Linked DNA regions of Macaca mulatta. The protein of the gene in region 1 purifies or fractionates together with the protein of each later gene. This does not show direct contact. Links are inferred from orthologs where the notes say so. Each region holds a gene or a part of one and is shown in the gene's direction. Other genes may lie near its edges.

Evidence for each region. The genes of interacting proteins can lie anywhere in the genome.
Region 2: the proteins of TNIP2 (region 1) and TNFAIP3 purify together in Homo sapiens (affinity purification with western blotting; 5 studies listed by BioGRID and IntAct, with this or other methods). This does not show direct contact. The link is inferred for Macaca mulatta from reciprocal best matches to the Homo sapiens genes TNIP2 and TNFAIP3.
Region 3: the proteins of TNIP2 (region 1) and TANK purify together in Homo sapiens (affinity purification with mass spectrometry; 3 studies listed by BioGRID and IntAct, with this or other methods). This does not show direct contact. The link is inferred for Macaca mulatta from reciprocal best matches to the Homo sapiens genes TNIP2 and TANK.

What each region holds. Positions count from the first base shown.
Region 1 is NC_133410.1:2,885,769-2,889,081, reverse strand, and holds the end of TNIP2 (TNFAIP3-interacting protein 2), read left to right. Parts: intron 1-1,923; coding exon 1,924-2,146; coding exon of another isoform or gene 2,147-2,187; exon of another isoform or gene 2,188-2,324; intron 2,325-2,631; coding exon 2,632-2,789; 3' UTR 2,790-2,810; downstream 2,811-3,313. UniProt on the Homo sapiens protein: Inhibits NF-kappa-B activation by blocking the interaction of RIPK1 with its downstream effector NEMO/IKBKG.
Region 2 is NC_133409.1:42,967,771-42,971,293, forward strand, and holds part of TNFAIP3 (tumor necrosis factor alpha-induced protein 3), read left to right. Parts: intron 1-781; coding exon 782-972; intron 973-1,635; coding exon 1,636-1,783; intron 1,784-1,943; coding exon 1,944-2,114; intron 2,115-3,008; coding exon 3,009-3,189; intron 3,190-3,523. UniProt on the Homo sapiens protein: Ubiquitin-editing enzyme that contains both ubiquitin ligase and deubiquitinase activities.
Region 3 is NC_133417.1:66,041,900-66,044,736, forward strand, and holds part of TANK (TRAF family member-associated NF-kappa-B activator), read left to right. Parts: coding exon 1-536; intron 537-2,837.

The sequences.
Region 1 (3,313 bases):
AGTGGCTCACGCCTGTAATCCCAACACTTTGGGAGGCCAAGGCGGGAGGATCATGAGGTCAGGAGATCGAGACCATCCTGGCTAACACGGTGAAACCCCATCTCTACTAAAAATACAAAAAATTAGCAGGACGTGATGGTGGGCGCCTGTAGTCCCAGCTACTTGGGAGGCTGAGGCAGGAGAATAGTGTGAACCTGGGAGGCGGAGCTTGCAGTGAGACGAGATCGAGCCACTGCACTCCAGCCTGGGCGACAGAGCCAGACTCGGTCTCAAAAAAAAAAAAATCCAGGAGAAGTTTGTTTATTTAGCTCCTCATCAAGTATCTAACACAATTTTGGCCCTGGGAATGGCCCTGGGCCCCACTCAAAGAGCTTCCTCTCCTGGCATAGCCTGAACAGTAGTGATACCTCTTGAGAAACGATGCACCCCGGGCTGGAGCTGGGAGGCCAAGCTGAGCTGCCCCGTGTTTCAGGGTGTGAACAGGGATCGTGGGGCTGTGAGGCCACCCCACTGCCCTGCTCCAAGCAGCCACTGGGCCTCAGTGGCTTCAGATTCTCTGCTTGAAGGGCACAAGAGAGTCACGGTGGACACCTTTTCTAACACACCCTTGGACTAAGTCTGCAGCAGAGGGCTAGACACAGGCAGCTGTTTGTACTTGTGCATGAGGGAGGAGGAACCTGGCGGGGCACTGTGTCTTCCTCCGTTAAGTTCACAGGCTGACAAGGAGGCACTGGAGGCTTCACCAGCCACAGCAGGCCCTGCCTCGAGCCCCTGCCCAGCCCCCGCAGCCTTCTTGGCATCACAGAATGGAATGTGTATGGGTGGCTCCCCATCCCCCAATTTCAGATTCTCCTAAGTCCCTGGCACAGGGATTCTTCAGCATGTCCCCTAGGCAGGAATGGGAACATCTTGCAACAGACCTACATGTGGGTTTTCCTGGGATTTGGTTTTGCCTGTGGGTTTTCCTGGGATTTGGTTTTGCCTGTGGGTTTTCTGGCCTTCACGAATTCAAGGAAGCATGTGATTTGGATTGAAGGATCACTGTTGGTACAATCATGAGGATGGTCTCAGGCCACCTCTCAAGATTTCGGACCCGAGGAACTGGTTCCAGACTTGCAGGCCCAGATTCTTACCCCTGAGGGTCAAGTTTCTGGTGGGGCCTGCAGACTTTGTACTAAGTGGCCTCTGTGTCCCTTTCAACAGTAGCCTGTGGCCCCTCGAGGGTTGCTCAGTCCCTAGGTGGCACAGCCAGGGACAGTGGTGCTGAAGCTTGGGTGATAAGCTGTAGTCCCACTGGGAAAGTCCACATTCAGACAGGAAGTGGAAGCACCAAGGCCTACTGGAATGAAGTTCGCAGACAAGCAGTGAGGGCTGCAGGCTGCGGTGCTTCAGGACGGATGTTTGGAGAACGCATGCCAGGCTGTGCCAAGTGGTTGGTGGGGCCAAGCCAGGGATACCTCTTGCTGCTACTGAAGGACCTCCTGAGCCCCAGAGTGCTGAGCACCCCAAGCCCCACAGAGGAGGTACAGAGTAGGGTTTGGACTCAGTTTTCCCAGCTCCCCACCAGAGGCTCTGCCACCTCCACTCTGTAGTGGTGTGTGGGCTACATCATCAGGGCCAACTTATCAGTCGGGTCTCCTAGGGCCGATGGGTCCAACTGAACAGGACTTCCACCAAGGGGTTACGGAGTGGACCATACTAGGGCCTGTTTCTTCATGAGCGCATGAGGGAGCGTGGGTGCGATCTCCTCAGTCATTCACTGAGCACCCCCTTGTCTGGGCTCTGGGGCACAGCAGGAAGCAAAGTGAGGGACTGAAGTTCCGCTCAGGGAGAGATGAAGTACCTCTAGTTGCTGGAACCTGAGACCAGACTTTGTGACCTTCAGCACAGCCCATGTAAATAGACCCTTTGCCTTTTCTCCAGGATTCTCAGGAGCCAGACGCCTGCCGGATCCATGCTGGAAGCAAAGCTGCCAAGTACTTGGCCACCGATGCATTGGAGCTTATGGTGCCTGGTGGCTGGAGGCCTGGGACTGGGGCCCAGCAGTTGGAACCCCCTGCAGAGGGCGGGCATCCTGGCATGGCCCAGAGAGGCCAGGGGGACCTTCAGTGCCCTCACTGCCTGGAGTGCTTCAGTGACGAGCAAGGTGAAGAGCTCCTCAGGCATGTGGCTGAGTGCTGCCAGTGACTGAGACTCACCCGTGCCCTTACGGCCCCCTGGCCCGGTGCAGCTGCCCTCAGGGACAGGGTGGGTACTCTCAGATGCCATGGGTTGAGCTCTCCTGAGATCCAAGGCCCCTAAATAGGTGCGGGGCACTGTGATCATTCCCGTTGGTCCCCCTTTGGCTATGGAACAGGCTGGGTCACAGGGAACTGCCAGTGAGGCTGGAGGCTGGAGGTGGAGATGGGGTTAGGAACATCTGGCAGAGGGAGGTCCTGGTCTGTGTCTCCATCAGGCTGAAGCCAGAGCAATCTAGTGCTAGCGTACCAGCCCCTCCCCTAGCCTGCACCTGGGCATGCCGCAGCTTGCCAGAAAGGGGTGGCTGCCTATGGGGGTCACTTGTATGGTCCTTAGGGTGGAAGCCCCATCCTGTTCTGTAGCATAAGGTGTCTCCTCTCTGCCTTGAACCAGGAGGTTTGTCCAATGGAGCATTGCGGCTGTGCATCACACTAGGGGGGCCGCCCCCGCCATTGCAGAGCCGCATGTCTGCCCTGAGAAACTGCATCGCAGTAGCACTGTCATCTGTCCGGAAGTTAAAGCACACTTACTCTATCCACCTATTTTTATAATAAACGTTCTTGCTACTGTGACTGCTCTGAGAATGTGTGTTGGAAGCTGGGGTGCAGGGACTGAGCAGTATTGACAGCAGCTGGCACGGGAAAACGCTCCTGCTGTTGCCTTCTCCCAAGGCACCAAGACAAGGGGGTGAGTGGGAGCCTGGCTGTGTTAGGGTTCTTTAGAGGGACAGAACTAATGGAATAGATAGATCCATAAAGGGGAGTGTGTTAAGTATCGACTCACACGATCACAAGTTCCCACAATAGGCCATCTGCGGGCTGAGGAACAAGGAGAGCCAGTCCAAGTTTTGAAACTGAAGAACGTGGAGTCCCATGTTCAAGGGCAAGATGTAGGCTGGGAGGCCAGGCCAGTCTCTCCTTTCACGTTTTTCTGCCTGCTTATATTCTAGCAGCACTGGCAGCTGATTAGATGGTGCCCACCCACACTGAAGGTGGGTCTGCCTTTCCCAGCCCGGTGACTCAAATGTTAATCTCCTTGGCAACACCCCCACAGACACGCCCAGGATCAATACTTC
Region 2 (3,523 bases), on another chromosome or scaffold:
GAAATGTCACAAATTAATGGCATACAATTAAACTTGTTTTTTGTTTTTTTTTTCTCAAAATGTCAGCCTTAAACACTGAATTATTTTCAAATTTAGACACCCAGGTGCTTTTTAACTTTTGTACTTTACAGTTACTAACAAGCAGGTTTGCATAAGGCATTTTTGAGAGCCGGACTAGCAGGCCATAGGTAATTCAGTGTTGTCAACGCCACTTTACACACCAGGAGAGGAAACTCCCAGGGCCCAAAGGCTAAAGTGGAATGGTCAAGTCATTTGCCATTGAGTCACAGCCAGACCATCCCTGTCTAGCAAGCCATGCCTGCTTCCTGGTTTGTGCGTGCAGCCTTGTGTGTGCTTCCTTAGAATTAGAGAGCAGCCATGCCAGTGCCTTCACCGGCAGATCAGGGGATGGTAGGAAGGAATGGGGCTTTAGAGACCGTCACTCACTGCCCTCATTTCACAAACAGGAAAAATGCCCAGAGAGCTCAAGGAATTTCCCCCAGGTCACCTGAACTAGGTAGGAGCAGAGTTAAGCTAGAACCAAGGTCCCCTGGCTCCTCTGCAGTTGGTGTCATTCATTAAAAAGAAGAATAAAAAGAACTGTTTTTTCCTTAAAGCTGTCATCATCTTATGAAATATCAGTTTGCCCTTGACTAGGAAATTAAACCAAATTAAACCATTCAGTCCACTAGAATAGCAGTAGGGCTGGTTTATTCTGAAACCTTTGCTGGGCCTTCCATGCAGATAACTTGACTCCTTCTCTTTTCCTTTCTGTCCTCAGGTGATGGCAATTGCCTCATGCATGCCACTTCTCAGTACATGTGGGGCGTTCAGGACACAGACCTGGTACTGAGGAAGGCGCTGTTCAGCACGCTCAAGGAAACAGACACACGCAACTTTAAATTCCGCTGGCAACTGGAGTCTCTCAAATCTCAGGAATTTGTTGAAACGGGGCTTTGCTATGATACTCGGGTATGTTTTTCCCCGTAATTATCTACTGACAGAGCTCCATGGTGGGCATAGGGTACCCCTGGACGAGTCCCTGCCCTCTGGTAGCATCTGATGGACTAGGTCACATGAATTTGTCTAAGCGAAGCATACTCAATGGAAAACACCAGAAACCTCCAGTGGGACTCACCCAAGGCTCTTGCCCTGTTTTTGGTTAGCAGATTCCCAGCTGTGCATCTGTTCCCTGTAGCAGCAAGTCTTTTGATCATGGCCTTTTCCACTGGTGTTTTGTTGTTTTTCGGTTTGATTGCCCTTAGCTTTGCTGAGCCAGCCAATAAGATTAAGACACGTGCCTCACCATCCTCAGTCACAAGTTTGGAATTTTTGTGAACATTTGGATAAGGGGCTGCAATGTGATACCTCATCAGGGATTTTTTTTTTTAAAGCAGGTGCTGTCCCGTCCTCCCCAACTTTTGAGTTTGCCTTGTAGTGGAAAAAAGTAAAGGAAGAAAATGGAAATGGGGAAAAAAGGGTGATCATTTGAATGATAGTTTCATGAAAGGGGAAAAATAAGCTGAGTTATATAAATGAATAATTGTAGAGTGATGTCAGAATGACTTTTTAGTACAGGGAGTACAGGGTACATTCAAGCTTTTTTTTTCCTTTCTTTCACCCCCCTCCCCTTAGAACTGGAATGATGAATGGGACAACCTTATCAAAATGGCTTCCACAGACACACCCATGGCCCGAAGTGGACTTCAGTACAACTCACTGGAAGAAATACACATATTTGTCCTTTGCAACATCCTCAGAAGGCCAATCATTGTCATTTCAGGTGAGATGCCTATAGATCACATATCTGTACTTAAATGCTTTCAGCTTTATGGCTTGGCTCGTCGAGAAAACCACACTGCCAAAGTTCAGGTAACAGAGTGAAATGGAATTTGATGAAAGTCACCTAAGGGTCTCATTTTTCTTTCTCTTTCTTTGAACAGACAAAATGCTAAGAAGTTTGGAATCAGGTTCCAATTTCGCCCCTTTGAAAGTGGGTGGAATTTACTTGCCTCTACATTGGCCTGCCCAGGAATGCTACAGATACCCCATTGTTCTCGGCTATGACAGCCATCATTTTGTACCCTTGGTGACCCTGAAGGACAGTGGGCCTGGTGAGAAAACTGCATTAATTCAGATTTGTAACTAGACACTGAAACATCAGGGGTTTTTTTGCTTCTTATTGAAATAATCTTATTTAAGTATCTTATTTTTATTTAAATGCATTGTTCTGTGACTTGCTTGGTTAGTAAGAGTAATGCAATAGCAATAACTCATAATACCCTCATATCTTTTTGAATATGACTTGGAAAGTACTTTCATACATGATAAATTAAGGCACATAGTGCCTGTTATGGAACAAGTAAATGCCTGTCAGGTTAGCTTTTTTATTTCTTTTTGAAACAGGGTTTCCCTCTGTTGTTCAGGCTGGAGTGCAGTGGCACAATCATGGCTCATTGCAGCCTCAACCCCTTGGGGACAAGCAGTCTCCCGCTTTGGCCTCTCAAAGTTACAGGCATGAGCCACCGTGCCTGGCCTGTTGGCTGTTATTTTGATAGCTTCATGTGGAAAAAGCACTGTGCTTTGGATATATTATTTTATTGCATTTTTATCCTCTTAGCATTCTTGTCAGATGTAGGGCTTGGTAGCCTTATTTTACAGATTAGACAGTTAAAGCTTAGAGAGGTCAACTGACCTGCCTAATGCCACACAACTTGACAAAAGCCAGGATTCAAACTCAGGTCAGTCTGATTCTAAAGCCTGGGACTTCAACCAATAAGATCCACCCCCTCCAGGCTGGTTAATATTCTGTGAGTTTCCTGGAAACAGTGCATTTTTATATTAGATTGTAGCACATTCTGTTTTCCCTTTTGGGTTTAACTGTGGCTGAGAATAGTTTTCTATTCTGTAAATTATATATTTTACACACTTTCAAAATGCGATCTACTTACCTATGGCCTTGTTTAGTAGAATACGATTTTACTTATGTGTTATTTTTTTTCCCTCAGAAATCCGAGCTGTTCCACTTGTTAACAGAGACCGAGGAAGATTTGAAGACTTGAAAGTTCACTTTTTGACAGATCCTGAAAATGAGATGAAGGAGAAGCTCTTAAAAGAGTACTTAATGGTGATAGAAATCCCTGTCCAAGGCTGGGACCATGGCACAACTCATCTCATCAATGCCGCAAAGTAAGCAGTTTATGTTCAGCTCTCTCCTGTGTCATCTGTAACTGTCTTTAACCTCAGCCACCTGAGTTGCTGCCACCCTGAAGCTCAACAGTAGAGTGATTTGTGGCCAGTTTCTGCCAGTGGGAAACAAATTCAGAGCCTTGTGCATGGTTAGAGAGGATTCTGTAAGGCCGTACTAACTTGGGTTTCAAATCGAAATAAGTCATTTATCCATATTGAGTTTCCTAGATATCTGGATCCCAAAAGCCAGAATTGCAGAATTATGGGTTTTCAAAGTGCATTTACATCAAGGATAGTTGTTGTTTTTTGTTTTTGTATTTTAATTACTCTGGTA
Region 3 (2,837 bases), on another chromosome or scaffold:
AACAAGAGGCGCTGTTTAAGCCTCAGGCTAAAGATGATATAAATAGAGGTGCACCATCCATCACATGTGTCACACCAAGAGGACTGTGCAGAGATGAGGAAGACACCTCTTTTGAATCACTTTCTAAATTCAATGTCAAGTTTCCACCTATGGACAATGACTCGACTTTCTTACATAGCACTCCAGAGAGACCCGGCATCCTTAGTCCTGCCACGTCTGAGGCAATGTGCCAAGAGAAATTTAATACGGAGTTCAGAGACAACCCAGGGAACTTTGTTAAAACAGAAGAAACTTTATTTGAAATTCAGGGAATTGACCCCATAGCTTCAGCTATACAAAACCTTAAAACAACTGACAAAACAAAGCCCTCAAATCTTGTAAACACTTGTATCAGGACAACTCTGGATAGAGCTGCGTGTTTGCCACCTGGAGACCATAATGCATTATATGTAAATACCTTCCCACTTCTGGACCCATCTGATGCACCTTTTCCCTCACTTGATTCCCCAGGAAAAGCTATCCGAGGACCACAGCAGGTAACTGTTTTGCGTTAACAAATATATTATTATGTGTGAACACACATTTTGCCATACATGGACAGATATGCATCTCTTTTACGTTATCTGACATCCTTTTTAAACTACTGTCTAGCCAAAGTTAGGGGTTTCAGAAAAACAAGTCCTATAATAAATGACATGAAATTAGAAAAGCTGAATATGGTAAAACTATTGTAAAGTATCTTAGAATTTATGTCATTTAAAAATTCATGTTAAGCCTTATCCGTATCTATTGTGGTGTCACTTTCTTAGTTCCTTATTCAAAGCTTGTTTACTCAGGATTAATAAGATTATTAAATTTCATAGTGTGAAACAAATGCTGTTTTATTTAATAGTTTCTGTATATCATATTCATCTTTATAAGAATTCACGATCTTATGTAAATAATTGCATCTTACATTCCTATTTATCAACATAAGTGAACTATCTTTCAATGAATACTTCTACTATATCCTCAGTTATATAGTACGTAGATCTGTAGGGTTTAGTTTTGGTTTTGGTTGCTAATCTGGAAATGAACATGTAGCCTAGTATATTTTTAAAATAGTCTCTGCATGTGTATGATATCAGATATTTTATTCAATGTTTCTAAATCTCACAGACTTATGTCCCCCAAACCACTCCTGCCCTCCCTTTTAGATTCAAGTTCCATCACAGAATGATTCTTTTAGTTAAAAAAAAAGTTTAATGTCTGAAAGCAAATGAAAACTATAAAATTTTTACAAAAAACAGAAGCTTATGAAAATAGATTGATGTAAATGTCTATGTAACTTGCAAACATTTGTCTGATTTCTCTTTGCCTTGAGATTTTTTTTTTTTTAAAGTTGTTAATACCCTTTTGCTTTAAGTACACTTATAGGTTATAGACTTAAATCAGCATGCAAAGAAGGCAGTTGTCAAGCTGTGGTATATTTTAGTAGTGGGAAAAACTAGGCATGGCTGACAATAAGTTTTAATTATAACCTCACTTAGGTTCTTGTTCATTATACTTTATTTCACATCATAGTCTCTGTTATAGTTGCTACTAAATGAAACAAATTAAACAATTTCATTTATTGCAAGTAGAATTCCTGTGGAGCTGTGAAGTGCATCAGTTCTAATGCTTGTTACTTTTTTCTCTATTATATGTCTTGCTTGTTCTTTTACTAGTCTGTGCATTCATGTTTCAGTAGATGGCACCCTGCATTGTACATTTGCTTTCTATACTACAGCAAGGGAAACAGCTGGTATGTGATTACAACTTGATGGAAAAGTATTCAGCTTAAAAAATTCAGGAGAATTAGTGTTGAGTTGTCACAAGACATGGGGCATAAGGTTAGATAATTGATATTTTAGCAGAAAAAGCAAAGAAATTAGTTTGTTTTGAAGACCATGTTACAGTTTAGGATGGAAAGAATATTTCTTAAAGTGAGTTTTTTAAAAAACATTTTAAGCTATTTTATTTGTATTAATAAAGCTAGTATTATACAAGCTAGTATAAGTACAAAATTCCTGAGTTGGGCCAGGTACGGTGGTTCATGCCTATAATCCCAGCACTTTGGGAGGCTGAGGCAGGAGGATTGACTGAGCCTAGGAATTTGAGACCAGCCTGGGCAACACAGTGAGAACTTGTCTCTACAAATACATATAGATATATAGATATTTGTAGCTGGTTGTGGTGGCATGCGCCTATTGTCTCCAGCTACTTGGGAAGCTGAGGTGGGAGGATTGCTTGAGCTAGGTAGTTCGAGGTTGCAGTGAGCTGTGATGGTGCCACCACACTTCAGCCTGGGTGACAGAGCAAGACCCTGTCTCAAAATAATAATAATAATAATAATAATAATAATTTTTTTAATCCTGAGTTGTTTGTAGATAGTAACAAAGAGAAGTGAAATTTTTGGCTGCATATTTAAAAATTTTACTTTATATCAATCATTACTACTAAACATCTATTTTATATATTCAGCTATCATAACCAAGACTAAAGTGTATCAGATTATTATTGTTCTATGTGATTTTCTTTTTTACTTTGCTGAGTCAGTGAGTGGGATCCCAACTAAATTCTATGAAGAGATCAAATCTGAACTAAAAGTTCTTAATAGAGAAAAATGAATATGGACTTAATAGGTAAATTGGGAGCAGAAGATTGGCTTACCAAATTTAGAAGCTAAATTGCTTCTGATTTAATTTCTTGCTATTTTATATAAATAAGGACTATCTTTAATAATCTTTTATTTCTGGCCATATCAATTTCCCATTACAGTGATTTGTACTTTTTTGTTTAAAACTGAAAACATTAAA